Tamandua tetradactyla: one gene and its partners. The protein of the gene in region 1 interacts with the protein of each later gene in a pairwise test. Links are inferred from orthologs where the notes say so. Each region holds a gene or a part of one and is shown in the gene's direction. Other genes may lie near its edges.

Region 1 (3,749 bases):
CTGCACAAGGCAGCACGGTCACGGGCTCAGGGATTTGGACATGGGCCTCCCGGGACCAGCATCCTCGCTTCCACGGGGGTGTCGCTGCCTCCGGCCCGGCTGGTCAGGCTCTGCCTCAGACCAGTGCAGACACGTGATCCAGGAACCACGGGATGGGGTCTGGAGAGAGGCATTTGATGGGGAGTGGGGAGGAGGGTCTTTCTGTGAGGAGGACTGAGGAGGACACCCCCGGGAGGAGCTGCTGCGGGAGGAGGGACACGCAGGCAGCAAGTGACAGGCGAGCAGTTCCCTGAGTGCGGCCTGCGGCCGGAGGCCACGCGGATCACCACCGGGGCTCCAACCATGGGCCAGCCCTCCAAACACCAAGTAAACTTTTATTACAAATGTTGCCAAGAAACCAGACAATAACATCAGAAATAAAGTGCTCCCAGCACTGGACCCGAACTAGATTGGACTCCTTCTTGTTAGGCCGCTGTTCCCCTTTTTCCAGAATTCCTGTAAGAAACTCGGCACTAATTAGACTTGCCACACTGGAAGTATACCAAGAAATAAGAAAAACTGCTCTCCGCGCCCAAGATCAGCAATGGTGAGAAGCTGCGCCTGCAAACGGGCTGCTGCCGACTCACGGTTTACATTTTTTAAAAGGACAAATCGTGGAGGAGGGTCTGATAAGCTCTCCCAGCTGCTGAACTCCTGCCGGAGCTTGGGTGCCCTTGTCTCTTGCTGTGTCACGCCGCCTTCCCTCCCCTGCCGGCTCTGGCCCACTGCCTGTGTGTGTGCGTGTGTGTGTGTGTGCGCGCGCACTGGCGTGTTTGTCTATGTGGTCTGTTTCCCCTGTGAGAACCCGGCCTGCCTGTCTCCTGCTGTCCCTGCTGCTCTGACTTGTTCTTTGCTGCCTCTTTCCTCTCCTCCCTTCTCTCTTTGCTCAGCTCCTAGCCTGCCGGTGAGTATGACAACCACCCCCCGAGGCCTACGAGAAGAGGTAGGGTGCGGTTTGTGGTGTTGAAAACATGCAACTTTGAGATCGAAGTGAGCTGTTGAAGAACTTTCCACTGCTTTGTTTGTAAGTGAAATGCGTTGCTTAGGAAGGAGTGCGTAGAACCTGCTGAGACCTCTAGTGCAAGCACAGGATTCTCTCTTTCAGAGGAGGGAGGACAATAAAGTTTATACAAAATAAAATTTAGAAATAGCTTTTGCTGAAAAACTAGCGAGGACAGAAAGGGACAGTTTAAAAAGGAACAGAGCTCCTTGGACTTTTTCTTCCCCTCTTGTTGATTTATCTGGAGGCTGCTCCTAGGAACTGAGCTGTCCTGTGGCTCACAAGGACGCTGTCATTCTGCTTTAAAGTGCATGTGGAGCGGGAATTGGAAGGATAGCCATGGAATTAAGTATAAAAACCATCGGTGGTCAGGGCATCTGATAAATACAGCGCAAATCGAATGCAGAGAACTTGTATCTGCACTAACCATACTAACACGCCTTTCAGTTGGCTTTAAACCCATCACTTTGAAGTTCGGTCTACTTTCAATTTGATTTCATCCTGAAATAGCTTCCCTAACACTTTACAACCGACATATGAACGGAAACCCTTAAATGTTTACTGTTTTCAGATTGATTTTAAAAAGTGTTCTCTTCCCTTGGTTTCTGAGGATGACATGCTAAATACCATGATGCCTTCCACAAGAGCTTAAAATAACCTCTGGCTGGACAGCAGGTGCCACATGCCCCCGCCTTGAGCTGGGGGCGGGGGCTGGGAGCGAAGTTAAATATAGCCGGTGTGCACAGCACGTAGGGGGCAGGCCATGTGGCCGCTGACGGCGTGGCCCGGTGACGAAGCTGACCGATGGAGTGGGTGGAAGGAAGGGCTTCCTTCCAAGTGAATGAGAGCTGGGGGGGGGGGGGGGGGGCCTCATGGGAGTCTCCATTCATGCTGGTGTCCGCGAGGCCCGGGAGAGGGAGTGGGGCGGTCACGCTGGCGTTTCCTCTCCCTGCCAGCGCGGCAGCACACCTGGGCGCCAGGAGGAACCTGCCAGGTTTCTACGCTGTGAATTAACAGGCTCACTGTGAAACACCCTTTACAAGCGGAAAGCTATTCTATCTGTTTCTCTAAACATCCTGGCTGAAAGGCCCAAGCTAAAGCTCTTGCAAACTCAGAAATGGAGACCGCCAGAAACCCTGGAATCTTTTGCCTCATCACGTCCCTCTCGGACTATTGCCCGGATTATATCTGGATTTTTTTTCCCCAATTCATCCTTTCCCTGAATACTGGCCACTGCTATTTCTTAAAAATAAATAAGTTATTCTGGTGTTTCTTGACTGAGAAGAGAAAGCTGGGATCTGTTTTATCCTAAAGGAAAGTGGGTTTTAATGTTGGAACAAATGTGTATTGAGTAAATTCAAGAATTATCATGAGCACCACCGTGTAGTCACACTGGGCAGTCCGTTTGTTTATACCTGCTCTCACTGTCTTATTCTAGAAATGATGCTAGTGTGAACCTCAGAAAATGTGTTTTACTAAATGACAATTACATGTTACTCATCTGGGAAAAAGAAAACATTGGAAAAGCAAGAAAGTACCTCCTGCTTTCACCATTTTTGGTGTAAGCATTTACACCAAAATATTCATATTGATCACATCTTGAGTTATGGATTAAAATAGAGTTTAGGGATATTGTTGTAATGGATACTTTTAGTAGACTCAACAGCTCTTGCATTAACTGTTTTAACTTTGAAAGAAAACTAATACCAATTTAAATTTCAACCTTTAAGTGTATTCAACCATGTGCTTCCAACGATTTTGAACCTACATAGAATTGTATGAGAGAATGATAGCCACTAACTGACTATTCTAAGCAAAATGTCAAACAGGGCCATGCAAAGGAAATAATAGCATGAATTACTCTTTTCATGACAATAATAGGGGACACAAGTGGAATGCAAAGACCAAAACAAAAGTATGCTAGTAGTATGACTCAATTTGGAGAAATGACTTCCACCTGTTACTACCTTACTAACTAGCATCAGTGGCTTATGAAGGGGCGTTCAGTCAATGTTAGAAACCCATTTGGGGTTGTCCTTACCATTTACATACAGCTGAGTTAACTACCTTAACCTAACTGTGCTCATCTCTAGGCACTGCTCCCAATATGGAGACTGGTCAACCCATACTACCCTCAGTGGAACCGCAGTCAACAGCCCCAGGGGATGGAGAGGAGAGTTCTTCATTGCCACCGAGGCTAAATGGCCTGGAGAAGCCAGATGGCCAGGATTCCTCACCCCCAATCCAAGAACCAGAGAAAGGGGCAAGTGTGCAGCCTGAAAAGGCAGCTCATGATATCTCCGAAGAGTTGAATCGACAACTGGAAGACATTATAAGCACATACGGGTCCGCCGCCAGCACAACGGGGCAGGAGGGCCCTGGCACAACCAAAGAGAGGGCAGAATCCCTTGACCACGAGGAAAGGGACTATGAAGAGACCATGGAAGAGACTGAAAGGGAGCCCACAGCTTCTGGAGAGCCACCTGCAGCCAAAGAGTCTGTCGGCAATAAAGAGCAAAAATCGGAAAAGAAAATCCTAAAGGGATTAGGCAAGTCATTTGTCCTACTCTGTGGCTTTTCTCTCTTTGAATCTGTCCTAAAATGGGGCACTTCCTCTGACCTTTACTAAAAGCACATTTAGATAGATATGTCTCTCATTGGTTGGTTATAACAGCCTCCTTCAGGGATGCCCTGCATCTCCTCTTGCCAT
Region 2 (3,749 bases), on another chromosome or scaffold:
TGAAGTATACAGGACCAGTGACAGAAGGGAAGTACTGATTGTGAGTTAAATCCATACTTTCCATAATAGGAAACCAATAGACAAACATTTAAAATCAAGAACCAGTAGTATACTTATGCAAGGTGTTAATAACAGGGTGGTATATGGGGATCTTTATTTTATGCATGATTTTCCTGTAAACCCATAACTTCTCTAATTAAAAAAAAAAGAAAGAAAGAGGGGTTGTGCTGGTTTAAATCTGTTATGTACCCCAGAAAAGCCTATGTTATTTTAATCCGTTCTTGTAGGGGCAGACTTATTGTTGGGTGGGACCTTTGATTAGATTGTTTCCATGGAAATGTGACCCCACCCATTTAAGGTGGGTCTTAATCAGCTTGCTGGAGTTCTTTAAAGGAGAGAAGTTCTGGAGAGAGCCAATAGAAGCTAAGAGAGAAAATAAACACCCACAGAGATATTTTAGAGGGAAGGACCAGAAGACATTGCCATGTGCCTTCCCACCTGACATAGGAACCCCGGATGCCAGCAGCCCTTCCTTCAAGAAGGTAAACTCTTGGTGCCTTAATTTGGACATTTTCATGGCATTAGAATTGTAACTTGTAACTTAATAAATCTCCACTGAAAAAGCCCACCCATTCTGGTATATTGCATTCCAGCAGCTTTAGTAAACGGAAACAGTGGTATAAACCTATTTAAATACTAGAAGGAAAAAAAAAGCTAAAAGTGGTTGCTTCTGGGAAGTGGGACTAGAGGCGGGAAAAGGTAAGGCAGGGATAACTATCTTTTCATTGTAAACCCTTCTGTAACGGTGAACTGAATTACTTGGATTAAAAAACCAAAATCTAAACTAAGCTGAAACAAAACAAAACATTTTTATGGTTCTCCATTGCTCACAGAATAAAATCCAAACACCTTAAAACAGCCTTGTACAACCTTGCTACTCAGAGTGTGGTTCTAGGACCAATAACATAGTCATCACCAGGAGCGTGTTAGGAATGAAGAATCTCAGGGCCCACCTCGGACTTACTGAATCAGAATCTGCATTTTAACAAGCTCCGCAGATGAGTCAAAGGAACGGTCAAGTTTAGGGAACACCAGTCTACAAGATCTGGTGTGATCTGGCCCATGCAGAGCACTAAAGCTTCAACACTGGTTGCCTGCCGCTGGGCAGAAGGACTTTAGTTTCTGCTCCTCCTGTCTAAGGAGGAGCTGAAATTGGTGTGTGTATATGTGTGTGCCCGCGCGTGTCAGTGATTAGCTAAATTCTAGCCGCTATTTTCTACCAACTCTTCTACCCCAGGAAGCCTTTCAAAACTCTCTGCAGTCCTCTGCTACCACTGTTCATCAAGCTCCAAACATTTACTGGGCGCCTGATGTGTGCCTGTTTAGATTCAGTGGCAGAGTGGGGAGAAGGCGCTGAGCTCTCCTAGCGCATTCCTGAGCTAGAGGGTGTGTGCGCAGCCCTGGAATAGACTGTGCGCGGCTCTCAGAAAAGGCTCTGCGCGGCTTTTCTGAGCGGTACGGCGCCCTCCTCCGCCTGTGCGCCGCGCGGGCGGGGACCCACCCGTTCTGCTCCGCTCTGCAGTGGCGGCGGGGAAAGGAAGACCCCCGGGAGCGGGACCCCGGCGTCCGGTCGCCCAGCCCCGCACAGGCTTGGGCCCGTATGGAGGGGACCGCAGAGTCCCAGACGCCTGACCTACGAGACGTGGAGAGCAAGGTGGGCAGGAAGACCCCTGAAGGGCTTCTCCGCGGGCTGCGAGGCGAGTGGGAGCCGGGGACCGCTGGCGCCCTGCTGCTCCCAGGAGCGCCTAGCTTGGGCCACGGCTTGGGGGACAAGATCATGAAGCTGAGGATGGAGCTGGTGAGTGTTACCTCCACGGGCCAGGGCGTCGGAGTCCCCGGTTTAGGGCTGGAAAGAACGGACTGACGCCCCCGGAGTGGGCTGGAGAGGAAGGAGTTAAAACTCCGCACCTTACTCCTCTGGATGCTTCCCAGGTTAATCTGTAAAACCCGCGGGGCGGAGGTAGGGTGACTTCCATTAATTGTCCCCCAAGGGTGGGTGGGATGTTGGTGGGTTCCCAGGACTTGAGGTGGGAGGCACAACCTAGGAAGTTTTTCCGCCAAATAATTGGGAGTGGGGAGGTCAGGGCAGGGAGACAACTGAGAACCTGGCACTGCACACCTCTGTCCCCCCCTAGTTGCATTACAGGGCAACTAGGTTCTTCTTCCCTGCAAACTAGGAGCTTTTTCAGGACCAGGACCGAATTTGGTTCAGTTGAGGCCCAAGTGTTTACGACAGGATTCAGTACAAAAGAAAATTTGGGTGAGACACACATCTACTGAAAACTGCCAGGACCAGGGGGCACTAAAATCATTCTGCCATCCAGGCATAAAATATCTGAAAGTTCCCAGAACCATAGCAGACAAAGATTAGGCACACCCATCAGTGTCAGTTCCTCACCTGACTAGTCTTCTTCCCGGGGGTGCACTGGATATTTGGATTCCATCTGTTCCTCCTTGGGGAGAAAAGGAGGAAACAGGCACCCCCCCCCTTCCATGGTGCTGCAGTCTAGATGTTCTGAGCCAAAAGGACACCTAGGGCTTTGATTCCGGTGAAGAGACTGAGGTGAAGGGAATGATTTACACCTGCCACTACTTCATAGCCAGTTCTAATAACCTGAGGAATTGCCGGCTGCTCCCTGGCCCAGAACCAGAAACTCACAGTGAGTTTGTCAGCTAATAAGTCTTCCTGGAGCCCCACTGTGCGCCCTCCTCTGTGCCAGGCCTGGCTGTGAGGGAGGTAGGGAGGAGAGCCCAGGGCTCCAGGGCTTCCTGAGAGGCTGGGAGGAGAACCTTGTGGGCGGAGCAGTCAGGGAAGGCTCCACTTGAATGCCAAATGTGCACTTGGCCTTGAAGGTTGGGGGTGAGTGCCAAATGCTCTAGAGCAGGACTGTGACTGCTCACCTAAGTGGGGGCTGGTGTTGCCTTATCATACAAACTGGAGCTTGAGGCCTAGAAAGAGCCTACTTAGAATACCCTGCTTTGAAAATACACTCTATAATATATTCTCTTAATCCTCACAAAAGCCTTATGAGGAAAATAATTTATAGATGAAGAAATTGAGGCACAGAGAGGTTAAGGAACTGTCCGAGGTCATACAAAAAGTAAAAAAGCAGAGCTAGGATTTGAATCCAGATAATCTGACTACAATTTACATCTTTATCGTTAAGACCTGCTTTGGGTCAGACACTTTAAAACACATTATGTCATTGAAGTGAGAAAAATAGTCATTATTTTCCCCATCTCACAGATGTAGAAATATGCTTGGAGGTGTTAAGAGAGCTCCCACAGGAAGTCAGTGGAGAAGCTGTACCTAGTCTCTCTGGCTCTCTTTTCTGCCTTTGAAGGTGAACTTTTTTAGGGATACATTTAACTTCTGATTTTTTTTCTTGCTGTATTCTTGACTCAGCCTGACCTGGGGCCTGAGGCTGCCTGTGAAGGGCACAAGGGAGGGAGCCTTCTAGGGGTCAGAACAAGGAGAGATCCTCTACATGTACTCACAGATCCCTACCCCATTACTTTCTCCCTCCTCAGGCCAGGATGTCATTGATCTCTTCTGGCACTCTGCCTTGCCCACTGTCTTGGGCCCAGGAAGGACAGTGGTGGAACAGGGGGTTCTCCATGGAGCCACTAGTAGCAGGACTGAGCCAAGCCCTCTAAGGACTGTCCTTCAGTTGTCCTTCTCCCAGCTC
Region 3 (3,749 bases), on another chromosome or scaffold:
GCATTTTTAGCCTTAATGCTCATCTTGAAATGAAAGTCTTAATCTTATTTGAATTGAACGGAAAACTCCTATTCTTTTTTTTCCATTTTCCTAAAATCTATCAGAGTATGTGTCCTCTCACATACTTATGTCTTACAAGCCCAGACATAGGCATTCTTTCTTGTGAAATTATGGCTTTAAATACCTCTTCAGGTACCTATGCAAAATCCTGACTGCTATACTTAGGGCTTTTAGGCAGAATTTGAAGAGCTCTGGATTTGGAGTAAGATGCCCTACACTCATATCTTAGCTGTACTTGAATTAGATGTATCATCTTGGAGATCTCGAACCTGGAGTTGCTATTAATAATCGTTGCTACACTCAGCTTCACAAACAAGAATTTCTGAGCATCTAAAGAAATACTGAATGTGAAAGTACTTACCAATGGTAAAGAGCTATACAAGCTTGAGTTACCTTGGGTATCCTGGAACTTACTTACATTTTTTTCCAAGTTCTTTTTCCCTTTCTAAAGTCAGGAAACCTACATCAAAGCATTCAGTGTAAAGAGGAAGGACCAACATGGCCAAGGCTTTCAGAATAATGGAAAATTTCAAGTTATGATGAAATGATCACTCTCTTCATTCAATAATATGAATAGCTCTATGAAACACCTATTATAACTAATAACCTGTGTTACTTTATACAATTCATCTAAGAGACTCAATTTGTCAAGAAATAGCAAATGGTTTCATGAAATTTAAATGGAACCTGGATGGAGGGATGAGTCTATATTAAGTTGATAGCCATATTAAAGTAGCAAATTAATGTTAATGTTATGAAGAGGAGTACAAATAAAAGATTTTAAGAATTAGAAGCTAATCAACTCGATGTATTAGGAAGGAATTCTGTTCCTAAAATAGATGCAAGAATATTTTCAAACACAAAATTCAAGTGCTTAAAAATAATTCCCTCAAGAAAGCAATATAATTTATAAAAATATGACCTATAATATATAATAAACATATAGCCCTTCCCGACATTCTGTGAAATCAGGGCGGTAGGACAGGGCTGCTGTCATCAATTATTCCTGGAATTTGGTGGAGAAAAGAAAAGAATTTGGAATCAGCCACCCCGGGTTCCGTTCTAGTTCCCTCACTTGAGAATTATTTCTTCATACCTAAAAGGAAGACAATACTATCGGCTCTGCCTAAATTACAGACCCAGTTGTATGGGAAAGACAGGCACAAATGCTGCTGTTAGGGCGACAGAAGTGGCGGTGGACTGAGCTGTGCATTTAAAGAAATCCAGCCCTTCCCAGCTGGAAGACACTGGCGAATAGAAAGGAAAAGTACCCAGTTTATTTTTCATCCTGTTTCAAACTTGGGGAGAAGAGGCTGGGAACCGGGGGGGTGGTGAAGTCACCTGAATATGGAACCCCCAGCCATTTACCCTTTGTTCCTTCATTATTTCATTCCTTCAGTCATTCGACAAACCTTTATGGGGCCTGTGTTGGGCGTCGGGTAGCGGGCTAGGCACTGGAGCCACAGGCAGGAAGGGACCCAGCCTGTATCGGGGAGCCCTCTGACTAGTGAGCAGGCACCACACGCCTAACTGCGGGACAGCCAGGCCGCGCTCGCTTGGGGTGAAGAGGCTGCTGGCCGGGCCGTCCCGCCGCCACCTCCAGCGAGTCAGCCGGCGCCGCAGCGCCCCGCCGCCCCTGCCCTCTACCGCGGCGGCGGCGAGTTCGGCCCGCGTCCCCATGACAACCAGGAGGCGCGGCAGGCGGAGCGGGAGAGGCCGCGCGGCTGGCGGGCCGGGGCGGCGGGAGCGCGCGGCGGGCGCAGGGCCCCTCGGGCGGGCGGGAGGGCTCCCCGCGTTCCTGCTCCCGGGGCCTCAGACCTCCCGGGCAGGCGCGGCCGGCGCGGCGCGGCACAGACAGGTAACAGGGCCCCGGGCCTCCCCTGCCCACCTCACCCCGGTCCCTCTCGCGTCGGCCGGGCTGGCACCCGCAATCCTAGAGGCAGGGGTTACCCCAGGAGGCTGGGGGAGACTGTGCACGCGGCGGGTGGGAAAGAGCCCGGGATGCAAGGACTTTGAAGTGTAGGTTCTAATTGTGTGGCCTTAGGCAAGTCACTTAATTTGTGCCTCCGTTTCCCTGACGTGAAAGTGAGGGATTTGAGAACTGACGAAACTGTTTATTCATCCGTTCTTGCTGCTCAAGTTTTCATTCACCGCCCCTGCTTTTCGCCCCTCCTCTTCACCCACAACTGTAGGATCTCCCTTAAATTCCTCTGATTTGGGTGGCATGAATCCCGGGATCTTCCTCCTCCTCTTTCTACAACCATAAATGCGCTTTCATTGACTTTTATTCAGTAATTCGGAGTTGAATTCTTTTTCAATACTTTGTCCATTTATCTTCATATACTAATTATAAAATAAAACTGTTGCTGGGGGAAATACTATCTTGTGTTAGGCAAGTACATAAGCTCATTTTGTCAAGAGAGTGAGCCAGTGCCCATAGAACCATTAAGGAACTGTAAGATTTGTATTTTTAGAAAGTTCTTCAGGCTTCTGTCCTTAACTCTTGGTATGTTTATGTTAACAGACCCCAGAAATGGCCAGAGAAAGAATTTACTCAAATAAAGGCATGCCATTTAGGGGATTCACAGGAAAGGAAAGTTTGAGAAAATCTAGCTGGAATTCCTTTGAGTAAGAATTCCAGTTTACTCATCCCCATGTACTGAGCACTCTGCAAAGCACCTGGTATCTAGCTGTTGTCCAACAAATAGGGAACGAATGCCAATTTCAGTCAGTACCACATATTTCAACTCATCACTAAGCCTATGTCATAAATACAAAGGAGCACTCCTCCCTCCCCCCCCAAATAAGCCCGTTTCTTCATTTTGTAGAACCAAGAGTTACTACTATCTCAGAGAAACTAACATTAAATAGTTTGCTAAAAGCAAAATTTTTATGTTTTATACATTCATAATTGTAAGCATTTTAGGAATCTAGATCATTTTTCTCTCCAGCAGATTAAAAATTAAGAACCATAAACCAGATGCAACAGCTTCTTGACATGGAGAACAAGGCTCCTAATACTACGGGGTAAGTGCTGCAAATCTGTTTAATAAGTTGGTATTTTACTTTGTCAAAAATCATGGACTATGCATGAGTTTTGAAATTTCATATTAATAGAAAGATGTGCCAATTATTTTTGGTGAAGAGGGTGGGGGGAATTTCAAGAGACTGTAATTAAGAATCTATGGCATGAATCTTTTTTTGCATGGGTAGGCACCAGGAATCAAACTCAGGTCTCTGGCATGGCAGTCGAGAACTCTGCCTGGTGAGCCACAGTGGCCTGCCCAGCATGAGTCTTTTGAATTTTGACTCTGTATATTGTACACCAGAGGTGTCCAAAGACGATCGCCATTTTCCAACTTTCAGTGACTTTGTCCAGTGGCTTCATGGGATAGATGCACACACCCAGGGGAACCAACCTTGCAGCCTTTGTGCAGTCTTGGATTCTCACACTGCAACAGCTCATGGCCAGCTTATTCCTTTCTTGCATTCTCGCTTCCTCCATTCTTGCCCTTCAGGCTGAACTCAGCACTTCACCACAAGTTCCAGAATAAATACAACTCTACGAAACAGCAATAAGAGCTGGGTATTTTATCAAAAGTTTCATGGGGAGGTAAGGAATAGAGTTTGCAATTTGTATAGCATTCTATATCCTAGAAATTCAATCAAAATCCTTTTCAGAAATATCT

The links.
Region 2: the proteins of TXLNB (region 1) and LURAP1 interact in binary tests that used the Homo sapiens proteins (3 or more experiments, as listed by UniProt). The two-hybrid records come from large-scale screens. The link is inferred for Tamandua tetradactyla from reciprocal best matches to the Homo sapiens genes TXLNB and LURAP1.
Region 3: the proteins of TXLNB (region 1) and DEUP1 interact in binary tests that used the Homo sapiens proteins (3 or more experiments, as listed by UniProt). The two-hybrid records come from large-scale screens. The link is inferred for Tamandua tetradactyla from reciprocal best matches to the Homo sapiens genes TXLNB and DEUP1.

What each region holds. Positions count from the first base shown.
Region 1 is NC_135351.1:39,321,259-39,325,007, reverse strand, and holds the start of TXLNB (beta-taxilin), read left to right. Parts: upstream 1-761; 5' UTR 762-943; intron 944-3,132; 5' UTR 3,133-3,146; coding exon 3,147-3,588; intron 3,589-3,749. UniProt on the Homo sapiens protein: Promotes motor nerve regeneration. May be involved in intracellular vesicle traffic.
Region 2 is NC_135328.1:176,648,193-176,651,941, reverse strand, and holds the start of LURAP1 (leucine rich adaptor protein 1), read left to right. Parts: upstream 1-1,231; 5' UTR 1,232-1,660; coding exon 1,661-1,858; intron 1,859-3,749. UniProt on the Homo sapiens protein: Acts as an activator of the canonical NF-kappa-B pathway and drive the production of pro-inflammatory cytokines. Promotes the antigen (Ag)-presenting and priming function of dendritic cells via the canonical NF-kappa-B pathway.
Region 3 is NC_135334.1:49,843,741-49,847,489, reverse strand, and holds the start of DEUP1 (deuterosome assembly protein 1), read left to right. Parts: upstream 1-1,140; 5' UTR 1,141-1,327; intron 1,328-1,821; exon of another isoform or gene 1,822-1,918; intron 1,919-2,972; exon of another isoform or gene 2,973-3,014; 5' UTR 3,015-3,040; coding exon 3,041-3,087; exon of another isoform or gene 3,088-3,622; intron 3,623-3,749. UniProt on the Homo sapiens protein: Key structural component of the deuterosome, a structure that promotes de novo centriole amplification in multiciliated cells.